Linked DNA regions of Arabidopsis thaliana. The protein of the gene in region 3 purifies or fractionates together with the protein of the main gene of each other region. This does not show direct contact. Each region holds a gene or a part of one and is shown on either strand. Other genes may lie near its edges.

What was found.
Region 1: the proteins of UAP56b (region 3) and AT3G12915 fractionate together in Arabidopsis thaliana (co-fractionation; one large-scale study listed by BioGRID). This does not show direct contact.
Region 2: the proteins of UAP56b (region 3) and LOS1 fractionate together in Arabidopsis thaliana (co-fractionation; one large-scale study listed by BioGRID). This does not show direct contact.

What each region holds. Positions count from the first base shown.
Region 1 is NC_003074.8:4,109,188-4,115,626, reverse strand, and holds the start of AT3G12915 (Ribosomal protein S5/Elongation factor G/III/V family protein), read right to left. Parts: upstream 2,794-6,439; coding exon 2,791-2,793; exon of another isoform or gene 2,689-2,790; coding exon 2,601-2,688; intron 2,471-2,600; exon of another isoform or gene 2,355-2,470; coding exon 1,639-2,354; coding exon of another isoform or gene 1,578-1,638; coding exon 1,055-1,577; coding exon of another isoform or gene 956-1,054; coding exon 1-955. Other genes in the region: AT3G12910 (NAC (No Apical Meristem) domain transcriptional regulator superfamily protein), read right to left, coding at 4,979-5,368, 5,495-5,808, 6,003-6,210.
Region 2 is NC_003070.9:20,968,358-20,974,796, forward strand, and holds the start of LOS1 (Ribosomal protein S5/Elongation factor G/III/V family protein), read right to left. Parts: upstream 3,386-6,439; 5' UTR 3,309-3,385; exon of another isoform or gene 2,755-3,308; 5' UTR 2,721-2,754; coding exon 2,718-2,720; intron 2,638-2,717; coding exon 2,550-2,637; intron 2,329-2,549; coding exon 1-2,328. Other genes in the region: AT1G56080 (interactor of constitutive active ROPs protein), read right to left, coding at 6,100-6,189, 6,295-6,373. UniProt on the Arabidopsis thaliana protein: Catalyzes the GTP-dependent ribosomal translocation step during translation elongation.
Region 3 is NC_003076.8:3,564,466-3,570,904, reverse strand, and holds the start of UAP56b (DEAD/DEAH box RNA helicase family protein), read right to left. Parts: upstream 3,731-6,439; 5' UTR 3,653-3,730; intron 3,536-3,652; 5' UTR 3,517-3,535; coding exon 3,404-3,516; intron 3,187-3,403; coding exon 3,086-3,186; intron 2,628-3,085; coding exon 2,455-2,627; intron 2,352-2,454; coding exon 2,120-2,351; intron 2,041-2,119; coding exon 1,922-2,040; intron 1,753-1,921; coding exon 1,710-1,752; intron 1,591-1,709; coding exon 1,555-1,590; intron 1,471-1,554; coding exon of another isoform or gene 1,430-1,470; coding exon 1,332-1,429; intron 1,236-1,331; coding exon 1,179-1,235; intron 1,086-1,178; coding exon 901-1,085; intron 796-900; coding exon 651-795; intron 565-650; coding exon 481-564; intron 386-480; coding exon 322-385; intron 230-321; coding exon 219-229; 3' UTR 1-218. Other genes in the region: SHN2 (Integrase-type DNA-binding superfamily protein), read right to left, coding at 4,854-5,343, 5,850-5,929. UniProt on the Arabidopsis thaliana protein: ATP-dependent RNA helicase involved in pre-mRNA splicing. Required for the export of mRNA out of the nucleus. In addition to ssRNA and dsRNA, binds dsDNA, but not ssDNA.

The DNA.
Region 1 (6,439 bases), on a different chromosome or scaffold from region 3:
GCAGCCTGTGAGCCAGTCTCAAGCGGATCAGAAGACATCATGTCCCAATGGTCAAACACACACTGAGGAAAGGCTTGTCCTGAGGTTGCAGCCCTTAGCTGACCTGAGAAACCAAATGACTCGACCACAGGAAGGTAGGCTTTGATGTTGTAGAGAGGCGTTCCTGGCCTTTGCATTTCTTCAAACACATGTCCACGCTTCTGATTCAACACACTGTAGATTCCTCCTAAAGCTCCCTCAGGTGCTTGTATCTCGACCATGTAAACCGGCTCAAGAAGTCTAGGCTTGGCCGTGAGTTGTGATGCATAGATGGCTCTTCTTGCTGTTGAGATCATCTGACCACATCCTCTGTGGATTGCATCAGCATGGAGCACAACATCACACACCTCATAACAGACCCCTCTCATGTTTTCCTCTGCTAAAGGACCTTCCTTTGAAGCCCATTGGAACCCAGCAACCACTGAGTCCTTGATTTCATTCAAGTACTGCACTCCCTTACACATGTCAACCACCATGTTGGGCCCTGTGGTGTCAGGTCCAAACGCCCAGATTTTCTTGGCAAGATCCTTGTCCCACCCAAACTCTTCTGCAAGAATCTTGGATCGGATCTTGGGGTCATCAGATGGACCGATGCGGCCTTCATCAATGGCCTCTGCTAGACCATCCTCCATTGGTCTGGCTTCCATGTAAAGACGGTTGTGTTTGTTTGGGGACTTACTCATCACAGTCCGGCAAGACCTCTCAAAGACTGTCTCTCGTAACGAAACAACAGGATCTGACACTATGATATCCGCACCACCCATAAAATCTTGAAGATCCTTGACACAAATTTCAATGTGGAGTTCTCCAGCACCTGCAACAATGTGCTCACCAGACTCTTCCATTGTGCATAGAACCATAGGGTCAGACTTGGCCAGCCTCTTAAGACCTTCTACAAGCTTGGGAAGGTCAGACGCTAGCTTGCATTTCACAGCAACACGAACAACGGGAGAGACAGAAAACTTCATGGCACGAAGCGGGTGTGCGTCCACTTCCTTCTAATTCGTCAAGGTACCATTCTTGGTGATGAACTGATCCAGCCCAACCATAGCAACAGTATTACCACAAGGAACATCCTCCACTGTCTCTTGTTTCTTACCCATCCAAATGACAGTCCTCTGCACACTTTTGACATACAGATCTTTCTTTTCACCAGGGACATAGTTAGGACCCATGATCCTGACTTTCATACCAGTAGAAACCGTACCAGAAAAGACACGACCGAAGGCAAAGAACCTGCCCTTGTCAGATGCGGGAATCATCTTAGAGACGTAGAGCATCAAAGGACCGTCTGGATCACAGTTTCTGATAGCTGCAGCATACTTATCATCAAGGGGACCTTCATACAAGTTCTCAACACGGTACCTCTGCGCAGTGTAGGGTGATGGTAAGTGAAAGATCATCATTTCAAGAAGAGCGGTACTCGCAGGAAGCCATGCCTGCATGACACGCTTCATCAAAGGTTTACCCATCAACTCTTTCTCATCGGGCTTCATCTGAATACCAAGCTTCTCTAACATCGGCCACAGCTTATCCTTCTGATCATTCATACAAGTGTTGATCATTATCTTAATGGGTTCATAACAGAACTGAACAAACCCACGCTTGCAGGTCGGGGAGCCAGTTTTTGGTCGTCCATTTTCTGGTTGCAGAATCAAAGAAGTTCTCACCCCACAGCCTCTCCATCATTTTAGATTCAGAGACACCAAACTTGGAAGCATACATCTTAGCAAAATTGGTGAGAGTGAAAGCCCATCCGTGGAGACCAGCAGAGAAAGCTACTGTCCCCTTTTCAGGGTAAACCTGAACATCACCGAGGAGAGGATCCTCATGCGTGGCCATGATGACATTAGCATTCTCAATGACCCTCTGGAAATTCTGATACGCCTCCTCACCATCAACCTTAAGCTCAAGGAAACACCTGTCCATCTTGTTGACAGTCAAAACAGGCCTAATCCTTTCACCAAGAGATTGCCTGAGCACAGTCTCAGTCTGCACACAAACACCTTCAATGCAGTCAACAACCACAAGAGCACCATCAGTGATACGGAGAGCAGCTGTGACCTCTGAAGAAAAGTCAACGTGTCCAGGAGAGTCAATGAGGTTGATCAGGTACTCATTGCCATCTCTAGCTCCGGTGAAACTCTTCAGAGACGCATCAGTCATCTCATAGTAGAGAGAGATACCAGTGGACTTGATGGTGATACCACGTTCTGCCTCATCAGCACGAGTATCAGTCATACGCACATCACCCGCAGTTTCTTGAGCAATGATACCAGCAGCAGCAACAAGTGAATCCGTAAGTGTAGATTTCCCTATCATTAAAAGATCACAAAACTTTTATTTAGTATCAAGTTTGATAGAAAAAACACATGCTTAGCAAACATATGTATAAAAGAGCAAATATTTCATCAACAAAAAAGAAACAGAACTATATAAATAAAAGATATATAAAATAAAATCGTTTTTTTATGTTATGTTATACTTTAACATCAATAAGCCATAAAAACAGAGTGATATGAGATTCATATACAACGAACAATTTTTAAAGAGATAAATACCATGATCGACATGGGCGATGACAGACATGTTACGGATGTTGTGTTTACGATCCGTAATTTTCCGTTGCTCTTCAACTGTAAACTTCACCTGCAAGATTTTTTAACAAAAACGTGTTAAACAAAACACAAGGCAGATCACTACACAAAAAATAAATGAATAGTACTCTGAAAGAAAAGAAAAAAAGCTTACCATCTTGACTTGCTTTTTTCCTCACGCCTACAAAATTCTCTGCAGAGAAAGAAGAGACAGTAAGAAAATTATCGGAAAATAATACTAGAATTCATAGATCAGCAGTAGAGAGAAGAAGAGAGAATCAACAATCTGTAAAAAATTAATAAATGGGAAAAGAAGAAGAAGAAGAGGGAGCGAAGGTAAACTAAAATCTTAACCAACCTGGAGCGAGTACGGGTGCAGCCTTGGACGTGAAAAGATGAGCAGAAGCGTTACTCTCTGTATATTATAAGAAAGTGCCTTTGCCTTCTGATTTTAATATTTAGGGTTTCACACAGAGAATCTCTGTCGGGTTTTATTTTGTCTTAAGGGCCTAAATGGGCTCACTTATTTTAAATTACTCATTAATCTGAAATCCTATTTTTTTTAAAAAAATTAGGGGGTATTATTGGTTTACGATTTATATAAATTTTTAGCGATTTAATGTTATAAAAAATCTTGTGTAATTAAATTAAGATTTTATAAGATTCTGTTAACAGTTAGTGTTATTAGATTTTGATTTATACAAAATAATCTAAAGTCTTCATAAATTTTGAGTTATTAGATTCATAATTTAATAAAGTCATTAAAAATTGATGTTATTAAACTAAAACAAATGAATCTATGATTCTTAATGATTTTAATTATGGTGTTATTGGTTTATGATTTTATACATTTTTTTTTACAAACTAAAATCATGAAAAGTATCAAGAAAAAATAAAGATTGTAAATCATGACCCTGATATTTTAGTTTAATAAAAAAAGACAAAAAGTTAGGATTTTTTTTGTCTTTAGGGCCTAAATAGGCTCACTTATTTTAAATTACTCATTAATCTCAAATCCTATTAAAACAAAAAAATGGAACTTTCACATAAAGATTTCACTTTTCAAAACCAAAACCATAAAAGGAAGTGGAGAAACAGAAACCCTGTTTACTTTACTTGTTGTCAAGAAGAGAAAGCATACCTCTGATCGAATTGGGTTCTCTCATTGACACTAGTTTGTAATTGCGACTGTAATATGAAGGGTGGAATCGAAGCCTGAAACAGATGAGAGAAGAGGCAGGAGGTTTATACCAGTACACAAAAGGGCGTCAAAGGTTTAAGTAAACAAACTGTTCTAAAAGGAACTGCTCATGTGCCGAACTTCCAGGTTTTAGAAAGTAAACTTGAAACAGATGCCAGGAAATTCATACCATAAAGAGTCTTCGTTTGTTCAATAAACCGTTTCCGCTGCAATAAAACCAGAAGAAGCATTGTGACCAATTAAAGCAAAGAGACATGGATCTAAATGAGACTCTAACAAAGCTGCAAAAGGAAAAAACAAAGGTCATCAGACACGGAATAGCCAAATGCAGCAGAATAAGAACCCAACTTACAAAGTACAAGACGGAAATTACTACACAATCAATCACACGTACATAGTTGGCTACTGGATAACCAGTGGAATCAGTCAGTAAAATGATATCAGACTACTCGATTGCATGATTTGAAGTATAAAGCTTAACCTATCTACAATTTTCACGCCAATTCCAACTGTTTATTGAACCATATCCTAGTCATGTCTCGGGAACACCCAAAACCTCTGCAGTTTAATTCGATATATACTGACTCGATTGTAAACTGAGCTAATCGTCTCTTAAATTGACGAATTTACGAAATCTGGAGATAAAAGGAACATGAACAATCGTATTCATCATCCAAACTACAAACAGAATCTCGGCTCTTCGCTCTCAGAATTCGAAATTGGCAAGTAACTCTGCTTTCTCTCCAATGGTTCTCTCCAATATTTCTCTCATCCGTGACAAGACAAGAAGTTCCATCGTTTCATCTCCTCCACCTAATGGGCTTTGTTTCCTTTGTGGGCTTCTTAATGTTTTTTTAAACGCTTTTGTTACTTTATTAAAGATAACAAGACCACAAGTCCACTATTCGTCTAACCGAAAAACATAAAATAAGAGGGCTAATAAAACAAAATATGCAAATAGTTCCCGAGATTAAATTGACATTAATACATACTATATACGTGTGGATCAACCTGAGAATTCAAACAGGTGCATATTCATATACACACGATCCATGTATACAGTAGAGATCTGATGATACAACACGTCCAAGCTAGTAATATGTAATATGTATACATATTAGTTGTTAATTATTCTAGAGATCTAACTAAGAAAAGAAGGTGGGAAAGCAAATTCCACAACCGATCGAAGCTCGTCCGGCCAAGTCTCGTAGGTTTCATGGTGAATGTTATCGTTGGAGAAATGTTGAAACGAATCAACGTGTGTGGTGTCCATGAGAATTGGCTGGTTTTGATGTTGATAAGGCGTTTGCTGAAGCTGGAAAACGCTTCTCTCGTAGTTCCCTTTGCCTTCCCTAACGTTCATCACGTTGGTACTACTACTACTTTCATTGTCCCCAAAATTTATATAAGCTTCTTGGTAATTAGATTGTTGCTGCTTCACACGTTTGCCATTTGCTAATTCTCTCCAGTCCGGAGTGTATTTTCGACTAGACACAGTTCTCTTAAATATCCGGCATAACGTCCATACTTCCTGCAATTATATAGTTAATAAGAACCATCCATGAGCATTCTTTCTCAAACCCTATGTATTTTTGCCATGTGAAGCGTTTATAGTGGCCAACCATGCATGATCATGATCAAGAGATAGCAAACTTACCGCGTGTAGCAAGGAAGTTGGAGTAGGGTTAGAGTGTGTAGGGCCACCGGGGATTGTGTCATTGGCTGTAGGGAGACGAAACTCGTGCATCATCCAATCCGTCTTGTTTCCTTTCCCGGCGCTTCCTAGGTAATAAACGAGTGTCTTCTTTAGACCGATCACGGCTTTGTTGGATCCATCGGAATAGACAGGCTTGTCTATCCCTGTGGCTTTCCAGAAACCGGAACCAGTCACTCGGTTCGGTCTTATGCTGTTTCTGTATTTCCTTCCTCTCTTACAAAAGAAGTAGCTCTCCTTCTCTGTATTCCTCGACCCTTCAAACAAAAATTATGTTTGATCATCAGTTTATAACAATAATTTATGTGTTAATTTTACTTCACAAACATGCATACACGACTTTACTTTTGTTTTTCTCATAAAAGTTAGACCTAATTTTTTTTCTATTTGTGTTTGCATGGTTTGGAGTGCAAAAAACAGAAAAAAGCAAGAGTGAGTAAAACAAACTTACTTGGAAGATCCCACGGATCAAATTTATAGATATCAATTTGGCTGACGATCTCATCAATCTTGCTCGTTTTTTTGAGAAGCACTTTTTTAGAGAGATAATACCCTACAAGCTCCTCATCCGTCGGATGAAACCTAAACCCTGGAAGCTTTAACGCATCCTCATCTTCTGATTCTCTTGTGTTGTCCCGTGGTTCTATCATCTTCTCCATGGCTTTGGTTTCTATTTCTTCCTTTTTGCTCTTTGGACTCACATATAAGAATCTTCTTGAGATTTATATAAAGAGAGTTTGTGTCGTGTGTCTATCTATCATAAGATCGATTTGGTCAAGTCATTTCTGTTGACTTAGTGATCCTTTGTAATCAATGATATATCCGACCCGGTAAAAGTCTTTTGGGCTTGAGTTTTTAGAACGAGTCTTTTCGCATCTATACGTGGAC
Region 2 (6,439 bases), on a different chromosome or scaffold from region 3:
AAGACATCATTTCCCAATGATCAAACACACACTGTGGGAATGCCTGTCCTGAGGTTGCTGCCCTAAGCTGACTTGAGAATCCGAAAGACTCCACAACAGGCAGGTATGCCTTGATGTTGTACAAGGGAGTTCCTGGCCTCTGCATCTCCTCGAACACGTGTCCACGCTTCTGATTCAGCACACTGTAGATTCCTCCAAGAGCTCCCTCTGGTGCCTGGATCTCAACCATGTAAACCGGCTCCAAAAGTCTGGGCTTAGCTGTGATCTGGGAAGCGTATATGACCCTTCTGGCTGTGGGGATAACCTGACCACCTCCTCTGTGGATGGCATCAGAGTGAAGCACCACATCACATACCTCAAAACAGATACCTCTCATGTTCTCTTCAGCAAGAGGACCTTCCTTGGACGCCCACTGGAAACCAGCAACAACTGAATCCTTGATTTCGTTAAGGTACTGAACTCCCTTACACATATCGACAACCATGTTAGGCCCTGTGGTTTCAGGTCCAAAAGCCCAGATCTTCTTTGCAAGATCCTTGTCCCATCCAAACTCCTCAGCCAAGATCTTGGATCTGATCTTAGGGTCATCCCTTGGGCCAATACGTCCATCATCAATAGCCTCAGCTAGACCTTCCTCCATGGGTCTTGCTTCCATGTACAGACGGTTATGCTTGTTAGGAGACTTACTCATAACTGTGCGAGTAGATCTATCACAAACTGTCTCACGGAAGGAGACCACAGGGTCTGACTTGATAATTTCAGCACCACCCATGAAATCATCCTGAAGATCCTTAAGACAAATCTCAAGATGGAGTTCTCCTGCACCAGCAACAATGTGCTCACCTGATTCCTCCATTGTACACACAACCATAGGATCAGACTTGGCCAACCTCTTGAGACCCTCAACCAACTTGGGAAGGTCAGACGCAACCTTACACTGAACAGCAACACGAACAACAGGAGACACAGAAAACTTCATAGCACGAATGGGGTGAGCATCAACTTCCTTCTCATTAGTCAATGTAGCATTCTTGGTGATGAACTGATCCAGCCCAACCATAGCAACAGTGTTACCACAAGGGACATCCTCCACTGTCTCTTGCCTCTTACCCATCCAAATGACAGTCCTCTGAACACTCTTAGTGTACAGATCCTTCTTCTCACCAGGGATATAGTTGGGACCCATGATTCTGACCTTCATACCAGTAGAAACCTTACCAGCAAAGACACGACCGAAGGCAAAGAATCTACCCTTGTCAGAGGCTGGAATCATCTTGGATACGTAGAGCATGAGAGGTCCATTGGGGTCACAGTTCCTGATGGCATTTGCATACTGATCATCAAGAGGACCTTCATACAGATTCTCAACACGGTACCTCTGGGCAGTGTGGGGAGATGGCAAATGAAAGATCATCATCTCAAGTAGTGCAGTACTTGCAGGGAGCCAAGTCTGCATAACACGCTTCATTAGAGGTTTACCCATAAGCTCCTTCTCATCATTCTTCATTGAGACACCAAGCTTCGCCAACATAGGCCACAACTTATCCTTCTGGTCATTCATGCAAGTAGCAATAATTTGCTTGATGGGTTCATAGCAGAACTGAACAAACCCACGCTTGCAGGTCGGGGAACCAGTGTTTTTGCCACTCCACTTCCTGGTGGCAGGGTCAAAGAAATTCTCACCCCAGAGCCTCTCCATCATCTTAGATTCAACAACACCGAACTTGGAAGCATACATCTTGGCGAAGTTGGTCAGTGTAAACGCCCATCCATGGAGACCAGCAGAAAACGCCACAGTTCCCTTCTCTGGGTAAACCTGAACATCACCAAGGAGAGGATCCTCGTATGTAGCCATGATGACATTAGCGTTCTCAATAACCCTCGAGAAAGTCTGGTAAGCCTCCTCACCATCAACCTGAAGCTCAAGGAAACACCTGTCCATCTTGTTGACAGTCAAGACAGGTCGAATCCTCTCACCAAGAGCCTGACGTAGAACAGTCTCAGTCTGAACACACACACCCTCAATGCAGTCGACCACCACAAGAGCACCATCAGTAATACGGAGAGCAGCAGTAACCTCAGAAGAAAAGTCAACGTGCCCAGGTGAATCAATAAGATTGATGAGGTACTCGTTTCCGTCTCTGGCTCCAGTGAAACTCTTCAAGGATTCATCAGTCATCTCGTAGTAGAGAGAAATACCAGTGGACTTGATAGTGATACCACGTTCAGCCTCATCAGCTCTGGTATCAGTCATACGAACATCACCAGCAACCTCTTGGGCAATGATACCAGCAGCAGCAACCAAAGAATCAGTAAGAGTGGATTTCCCTGTTGATCATGAAATAAAGATGCATTAGTTTAAACTTTTTTAAACGTTCAGCAAACTCAGAAAACAGATAAGAGACGCTATTAATTTCAAAACAGACTATAAACATTAGTATATAAAGAGATGCATTAGATTCAGATTACAATTCGACCAGCAAATTCAGTAAACAAACAAGAGATCAAAACTGACAAGAATAGTACAAAAAAAGTGATGAAGATTATACCGTGGTCGACATGAGCAATAACAGACATATTACGGATGTTGTGTTTGTAGTCCATAATCCTTCGAAGCTCATCAGCTGTAAACTTCACCTGCAAGTTCATAAAATCGTTATATGCTTGTATCCACATAGTAATAATGTAAATAAATGTAAGAAAAACAAAAGTCTTACCATTTTGTCAAACTTTTGATTGTCACCTACAAAATCTCTGCAATATCATCACAAAAACATAAAGAATTAGCAAATTGAAATATTTTAATACTAAACAGACACTAACCATGGAGACTTTAGCTTAGCTTATACAGAATAAGAGAAACTGAGACCAACACAAAAACATGTACATCAAATGCATAGAGGTTAAATTTAACAAAGAACAAAAACACACAACGAACAAAATAAAACCTGCAAATCTATACATGATGATAAATATAAAATCAGCGGCGATGATCGGAGAATCACACTGAACCAGTTTTTGGATGATCGACTACTACATGGATAACAATATCAATCAAAACTGAAAACACAACAGACTTGTAAGAAAACTTTGACATATTCAGATTATTATCTACGAGGGATCTACCAAAACCAGATCGATGCACAACAAACGGTAAGAAACAACAGAACCATGGAAACAAAGTGCTATAAACATAGATCAACAGCAAGACTCCATCATCTAAACACCAAATCGTGACAAAATTCCTAAATCAAACCAAGGAAGATGAAATTGAATCGATGAAGAGAGGATCTACACAAGGGACTAACCTTAGAGAGAAAGATGAGAACGAGAGAAAGAAAAGAGGTGCAAGGAGGCAGGCGTCTAGCAGCCTAAAGCTTATTATATAGTAACCAAGGAAGATGCTCTGAGTATATCCCTTGTTTCTCGTTTAGGGTTTTCGCTCTCTTAATGGGCCTTAATGGGCCAATACTCATCGGGCCAATATCATTAATTCTGGTTAAGTGTCTATTGAGTTTTTTAATCTTCATGAGCCCATGCATCATCGATTTAATCTTCATAAGTACACACGCTCAATTCAATAATCGAAGTAACAAAGATACTAAATTAAATCACTTTCACTGTAAACCGAGACCTTATTATTACATATCATTTGTTCATCTGTTTAATTAAATCAACAAGGAATGAATGATGATACATTAATCTTGTTTCCGTTATCTATATATACATTTTTGGAGGGGATTTTTGAAGATAATGTTGAAGATTTGAGCCATAATTCAACAATTAATTCAAATGGGTGGGTTTTACCCGGTTTAACTCTGTTCGGATTCTGGATAACATGTTTAATTCTGTTCTGATCTTAGATAACATTAATTTTTGGAAAAGTTACCTAAAAACTAATAATTAAAAACGAAAATTAATGATTTAATTACCAAATTTAATATAAACAATATCTCTAAACTAACCATATTTCTTATTTACCTTAACTAATTTCCTAAAATATTTCTACCTAATTTAAACATAAATATATAATTCTTCTTTCAATTTTATTTGATCTTATACTTTATTTATTTTGAATTTATATAAAATATATATAATTAATAAAATATTATATTTTTTTCTGAATATGATGTAATTCTAATTTTTTTAAATGGACATATATTATTCAACCTATGAAGAAATAATATGTGTACAATGTCCCACATCGCTTAGAAAAATTGGACAATGGTTCAGACCCATATTATAAAAGGACCAAAATGATTCTGATTACGAATGAGCAGGAAGCTTGATTTATCAGGCGTCCAAAATTAAAATAGTTATCCGATTTTACTGGGATTTTTTATTTTAAAGAATTGAAACTTTAAAATGTCTCAAAAAATTATAAATATTATAACTTTATCAAAAGTTAAATATTATAATTTTAAATTTTTTTATAAAGTTTATCTTTAAAAAATGCTTTAAATATTTATAATTTTAAAACTTATAAAGTTTTAAGAATTATAAATTGAATTTTACAAGAAATTTAACATTATAAATATATAAAAAATTTATTAATACGAGACGATATATTACAGAAAAAATCTTAAATATAACAATCAAAATTCAATGATGAATTTTGGGTCGATATTGTATTTTTTTAAGTTCCAAATTTTATAATATTGAAATTTATAAGAAAATGACAAAATTATGTTTAATTTCACGTGACTGGGTTATATGGTAGGACGGGTTTGGGTGGATAATAATTACGATTTTAGAATGTCCCACATCGCTTAAAAAAATTGGACAATGGTCAAGAGCCATACTATAAAAAGGACCAAAATGATTTCGATTACGAATGAGCATGAAACTTGATTTATGAGGTGTCCAAAATTAAAATGGTTTGTTTACTAGGGTTATTTATTTTAAAAAATTGAAACTTTAAAAAGTTTAAAAAATTATAAATTAAATTTTACAAGAAATTTAAACAATATAAAAGATATTAATACGGGACGATATACTGCGAGAGAAATCTTAGATATAACACTCAAAATTCAATGATGAAGTTTGGGTCAATATTAATCTTTTTTGAAGTTTCTAATTTTATAAATATTTGAAATTTATAATAAAATGACAAATTTGTGTTTAATTTCACGGGACGGGGTTATATGGTGTGACGGGTTTGAGTGGATAATAACATGGGATAGTATGCTATGGAAAAAAACATATAATAACAATCATAATATAATTATATAATCTTAAACACTAAACAAAATTAACAATATTAAAAAAAAAAACTTAAAACTTTAATTTTTTTAAAACACATTTTGATTCTTTTATAAGAAATTTAAACATTATAAATATTTAAACATTATAAATATTTAAACATTATACTACGGGTGAAATTTTATAATTGACTGTTTGGGTTGATAAGAATTTGCGATAGAATTAGGAGTGAAATCCTAGAATGATAATTAAAATATAATTATACAATTAAATACTACCACGGGTGAAATCCTAGAATTGACGGGCTTGATTCGATATTAATATGGGATGGTGTACTACGGAATATTTTAGAATTGTCTGGTTTGGGTTGATAATAATTTGCGATAGAATTAGGAGTGAAATCATAGAATGACAATTAAAATATAATTATACAATTAAATACTACCACAGGTGAAATCATAGAATTGACGGGTTTGATTCGATATTAATATGGAATGGTGTACTACGGGTGAAATCCGAGAAACAACAATCAAAATACAATTATACAATATTAAACATTTAACAAAATAAACAAATACAACTTAAAACTTTAAAATTTGAGTTATAAAATTTCGTCTAGCGGTGAATTATACATTTAAATCAAACAATAGCATAAATTTATTAAATCATCCTAAAAAATATTCAATTATTTTTTATTTAATAAAAATATAGGTCCGCGGTATACCGCGGGTTAATATCTAATAAAGATATAAACTCTTAGTCTTAGCAAAAGAACTGGGACTTGCAAGAACAAAATTCCCTGATTCTCTTCTATGGTTAAAGAGGTTTTACAAATTTGAAATCAGTCATGACTAATTGGTCATGAAAAGAAAGCTTAGAAGTTGGTGAGTTTTTGTTTCAACGCCCACTTGTGAGAAGTCCCTTAAAGGATATGTAAAGATCATTGTTTTCCTTTCCAAATATTTCCTCTGCTTTCTGTAATGTTTCCTGGCGATAAAGATTAGATAAGACCATTTTAGGATTCAAACATTATACAAATTTCAGACTAAAAGAGTTGGTTAAGGACTATGTTATGGCTTATGAGGTTATTACCTCGCGGCCCTGCTTCCGGGCGTTAAGTTCCTTGATGTTAGCCAGGAATGCACTGAACTGTTCGTAAGACAAACGGCTCCTGAAAATTCAAAACAATTCCTTATCTATCTATCACTCATTCTCATATACTAGTTGCTGGCTCTAG
Region 3 (6,439 bases):
GAGCTCTCAACTGTGCGCGATTTGGAGAGTAGCTCAATCTCATTTTTCAAGAGTTACAAAACGGTCTAAATATATGGAAAAACTTGTCCTCATAGAAAAGTCTAAAATAGCGAAGCAACAAACGGTGTGAGAGATAGTTGTGGACCTCCATGACCCCTTTGAACACCTAAAAGGTTGAAATCTGAAGAGGTTCGTTCCTCAGAGATGATGCTACTTGTTTAAGACGGCACTGAGCAAAGAATACGAAGAAGAAACTAAGTTAATATCAATACCAGACAAAACCAGCCTTTTTCACATTTAGTAATGGGATTTAAAACTTACTGTAAGTCGATGTATCAATCTGCTCAGGAAGCTCCTTTATATCGACCTCAAACCTCTCTTGAACCTGTCCAACATTTATACTTGCCACTTTACTAAATACCCAACTCAATATCATGGGGACTTTTTCCATGGAATTTATTAAAAGATCAAACACCATACCTGATTAAGGACCTCTGAATCTGAAGCAGATGCAACAAATGTGATTGCAAGACCCTTGGTTCCAAATCTACCAGCTCTCCCAACCTATCCCATACACACAGCAAAACGGTAAAGTTACAAGAGCCCTTTCATCAACGATCAAATAATAAATCTCAGGATTATATACTTACCCTATGAAGATAGGTATCCGCAGAATCTGGCATGTCATAGTTGATAACAATGTTGACACGCTCTATGTCAATCCCTCTTCCTACCAAGTCAGTCGCCACAAGGATCCTCTTGTGCCCTTCCTTGAAACTTTTGTATCGAGTCAACCTACATAACATATCGTATTAGGCTTAAGAATTGGACTCTCCATGAGGGCTTTAAGAGCAGGTAGGGTCCTTCAGAAACATTGAATTTTTAAGAGAATGTACAAACCTCTCTTCTTGAGACATGCCAGAGTGTATGCATATTGAGGGGAAATTGCATTCCACCAGTAACTTGTTCAGCTCCGCAGCCCTGCTCACGCTCTTCACAAAAATGACAACTTGATTGAAGTCCAACGCATCAAGAAGGTCATTCAACTTGCGATTTTTCTCCATCTCGCTCAGTTTGATGTAGTGCTGTTACAGTAGAACAGAAAAAAGGTCACTTAAGTATCAAACAACAACATATATTTACATTGAATACGAAGACCTCAAACCAGTTAAACGTACCTGGACAAGTCCATGAAGAGTCAACTTGGCTTCATCATCAACATATATTTCCATTGGCTGAAAGGAACAGATACCAGGTAAGAAGTATTAGCTAGCTTTCCTCAGGAAATGATTTACACTACAAAAGTGAAGATGGATGGAGATCCCCTGAACTGAGATCCTCGTCCACCTTTTCTCTTCAAAGATGTGAGTTTTGCTATGAAACATCAATATTGCTCGGAACATTGAGACCCATACGAGCACGATGAAACCTTGGGAAAACACAGTACCCCGACCCAAAACCCACCCACCACTGCTAGATTTTCAAAGAAATTGAAACTGAATAAAAGGTTAAGATGAAAGGAAATCCTGTTGTGCAACGGTCACTCAATCATACCAAAGCTACAGAGTCTCCACTCAGAGTTCTCAACCCCTACAAACTACCCAAAGCATTATTAGGTTGAGATCCTTCCAGAGATCAGTTGCAACTTTTCCAGGGCAGAACAACAGAAGATGCTCAAATAATGCTATGATCACCGATAGAAACCATACCAAAGCTAAAGAGTCTCACACTCACAGTCTCGTTCTCTAGAAACTACCCAAAGCATTATTGGATTGAGACCCATCCAGAGATCAGTTTCAGCTTTTCAAGGGCAGAACCGCAGAAGATGCTCAAATAATGCTATGATCACCCATAGAAGGCTAAAAATAGATGAAAACTAGAAGACTTGCAAAGGGAGAGAGAATTGGCCATGGAACATTACATCTTGCATAAACTTCTTGCAGACTGGGCGTATCTCTTTGCTGAGCGTTGCTGAGAACATCATTACTTGTTTGTCATGAGGAGTCATCTTGAAAATCTCCTGCACATCCCTTCGCATGTCTGGTAAAGACAAGTTGAAGTGTTAAAACATAAAATTATTCAGGGATCGATGTAATAATGATGTCAGAAATCAGCATACCAAGTGACTCGAGCATTTTATCACACTCATCAAGAATAAAATGCCTCACATTCTTCAAAGAGAGATCTTTCTCCCTGGCAAGTGCAAGCACTCGACCAGGGGTACCAACAACAATGTGAGGACATTCATTCTTCAGCAAGTCTTTGTGAATTTTAATGTTGACTCCACCATAGAACACCGAAACTTTTGTATCAGGCAGATAGGTACTGAATCGCACAAACTCATTGCAGATCTGCAAGTAATTTTCAGCATCAAGGCATAGTAAGCATTAGAGAACTTGAAGACGTAAAACACGACTATAAGCCAAGAACCTGAGTGAAACAAGAAGGTCATACCTGGTAAGCTAGCTCTCTTGTATGGCACAAGACAAGTGCAGAAACCTGGCCAGGAGATGGTTCAATCTGTTGTAGAGTAGACAGGACAAACACAGCAGTCTTCCCCATACCAGACTTTGCTTGGCAGATAACATCCATACCCAAGATAGCTTGAGGGATACATTCGTGTTGCACTGGTGGAGAACCAAAGAAAATAGCACCGAAGAAACCCTTTATAAGTAGATGATAACCTCCATATCTTTTAAATTGGTGGCTTTAGCACATGTTAAGCTCACTCCAAATCAATAGATCGAAATTAGCGTTTATTACCTGGAAAAAGTAATCAGTGAAACGTTAATAGACAGAAAACTAAAAAAAATTATTACAGGAAACTAAAGAAGAATTTAACCTTATAATCAACACAAAACTTTTGGATTTTGGACTTAGTTAGGTGATAAGCAAGGGACCCAGATAAAGTAAAATATCTTAAACCAACATATCTTCTCAAAACTAGACGAAGTACATATAATTAAAAGTCTCCGGACACCTAAAAAGCTTATGGAGAAGAAACTTCTGTAAATTCTACCATATCATTCAGATTCAGTAATAGAATGGTGAAAGGCAACAAAATTGAATTTTTATTGGTAATTACCTTCAGATGGATGTTCAAATCCTGAGTCAACAATAGCTCTGAGAAGCTCCGGTTTCAAAAGGAAGTCTCTGAATCCAGAACTGTGTATTCCCACGTACCCTCTGTCACAAAGAGAAAATACAATATGAGAAACACACGACAGTCTAATATTGGGTGGGTTTCAGGAATTATAGCAATGAAGAACTCAGTCAATTGTTATATGTTAAGCAACTAATTAAACACATACTGCTACTTGTTATCAAGTAGTAATCTAAGAATCGACAAATTTAAACACACAGTAGTATACATGAAACATATCGAGGAAACCATAAAACTCACTTTTTCACAGCTTCGCCGTTAACTTTGTTTCCAGAATCTGGGACCTTCTCGTCTTCTTCTTCATAGTCCAAGAGCTCCTCCTCGTAGGCTTCGTTGTCTCTAGCGTCTCCCATACTTCGCAAATTCAACAAGCTGCAGAGAAATTTCGGGTAAGATTCCAAATCCAAAACATTAACCTAAGATTCAGTAGGAAAGCATCTTCAGTTGGAACTTTGGATAAGCAATTGAGTTCTCGAGCGAGAATTTTACCTGAGATAAGGAGCAGAGTTAGTTGGATCTCGAAATCGACTAGGGTTTCGAAATCTCTGACTGAAGAAAATTAAATATCAACGCTGGGTTGGTGTCGTAAATATATATATACAGGGAGACTGGATAGGGTTGAGAATGGGCTTTACTTTAATGGGCCTAGAGTTTTTATGAATCGGCCTTTGTGCGCCGATTATTGAACTCAATGATGGGATCGAAGCAATTTTTTTTCTACGACGAATACGGTCAGGGTTCGTCTTGTAGGATAAGAACATTAGCCCAAAGATAGATTACAACAAATTGTTTTATGAGGATATTTTATTTCCTTTAATAATAACAACTAGATTTTTAACCCGTCTTATACCGCAGGGGACAATATTTTTTTTTTAAGTTAGTATATATAAAAGTTTGCAAATTGTATCTATCTATAAAATATTTTTATTTTATAGTTTACAATTGTTATTAAGTTACGTCCTGCTAAACTCGTCCCGCCAATCCGTCCCGTAAAAAAAACTATTTATTTTATTAATATTGATCTTATTTATGATATGTTTATGAATCATTGTCTAAATATTTTGTAATTTTGTAATAATTAATTGCTATCAAATATCTCTGTGGGTTGATGCGTATAATCGAATTGTTATAGTCATGCAAAAAAGCAATATCAAAAATGATAATTTTGTAATTTTTAAATGATGTTAAATATTTTGGAAGTTTTATTTTAGTAACTAATCGTGTAGTTAATGTAGAGAGATTTTGGGAATATAGTTAAATGTCAAATATTTAATTCGAAGATTTACTTTCTAATTATCAAAAATAATTATTAAATGCCAGTGGCAGCCACTGTAAATAAGTCTCAACTTGAGGTTTATTTTACAAAGTGGCTGCAAAAATGTATATGTATATATGTTTGTGTTTGAAGGACCAACAAAATTGTAGGCCCATTAATTAAAACAAGAGAATACTTAAATCGAACAATCTTTTATATCAATCAATACAACAAGCATGTATACTTTCATCACACAAAAAAATACAAATCTGTATATATTACATTTTTTTACATGTATTTTTGACAATTTTCTTACATGTATAATCGATAAATAAAGGAAATCCATCACATAATAAACTTTTTAAAAATATTAAAAACCGGAAAACAATGAAAACCCTTACCCCTTGTGGACTTGCAACAAGTTAAAGTCAAAAGTCAACTCCAATTCAGCAACTCCTCGATCATCTCCATAGCTAACTGATCCTCATCACTAATAATAGCTTCTTCTTCTTCTTCTTCTTTCTCAACGTTTTGTTTGTTCATCGTAGTCAACCCTAAGTCAACCGCACTTTCGTTGACTACGTTCCCAAGTTCGAGGCGCATGACCCAAGTCGGACTTGTTTTCGACCCGGCCCGTTTCTGCCAAACTCCAATGTGGGAACTGTCAGTATCAAGACGGAGACACGTCAAAGAAGGCGTTAGGTCTTTGCAGCTCTTCCTTAGCTTAGCGTTCAAAAGCTCAGATAATGACTTTGGTGACATCAACGGAGAGTTAACATCTTTAACGTGATCGGAGCCTTCCTCTGATTTTACGACAGGGAAATTGGTCTTAGCGTTTTGGCCGTTCATTAGAAGAGCCGCTTGGTCGTATGCTCTTGCAGCCGCTTCTGCCGTTTCGAAAGTTCCAAGCCACACTCTTCTCTTCCTGATTAATATATCACACACACGTGTAAATACTAAATACACTACATATGATGATATGAATTTTGAAATATAATTTTTAACGTTTTGGTATCATATAACATTCACGTTAAAAAAGGATTTTAGTAATTTTTATATTAGTTACAAAATCCAAGTAAACATTTCAATTAAGTTTTGAGCTGAAATCCAAACTAACCTTAGAAATTACCACATTTAATTTACAAAAATAATCAAAGAATCAAGTAGATGAAAATCAGTCGATAACTTAACTTTGATTAGCATGCATGGTTGGTTTTAACTTTTAATTCCTTTTAATATTTTGTAGATTGTTAAGCAATAGTAGAGCGTTTGTTTTAATATACAAATAAAGTTTTGATGAAATATACTAAAGAATAAAGATAGTAGCTTCATATGAGAAAAGCAACTACAACATTATATAATATGTAATCCTAAGCAGGAAAACAGTAAACAATGGAGATCATATATGTATATAGAGAGCCAATTACTTACAATAGAGGATGGCGAATCTCAGAGACCCAAGAACCCCATTGTCGCTGGCGGACACCTCGGAACTTCCTCGAATGTACCATCTTTTAGTTTCCTTCAAACTCTATATTTTCTGATTTGAAATTTAGGGTTTTAAGTTTCTCTCTCTTCTTAGCAGACACAACTCGGACAATCAGAAGAGAGAGAGAAAGATAGAGACTGATATAGTCCCTGATCCTACTGTGGTTCGTCCCCAACTAACTATTTATATAGGGCCTTAATTTGAAGTTTCTCTTTGTTTGTAAATTGACCTTTCTTCGATGATCTATATAAATTCGATTCACGTTGGTAATTAAGATATTTGAGCCCACTACTTTGTCTCACAAGCCTTAGTGAGGGACGTAACATCAATAGATATCTATTCTTTATTTATGAATACAACTTCCTTACTTTATTAGAATGAATCTAGTGAAGACACGACTCGTACCTTCGTTTCTAACGTTACTTTCATGCCATATAGGGACTCTCTTTTTTTTTTTTTTTCCCACGATCGACCCATATAGGGACTCATGCCTGAGTTTTAATACCCACAAAGAAACTAAAACATATATAGC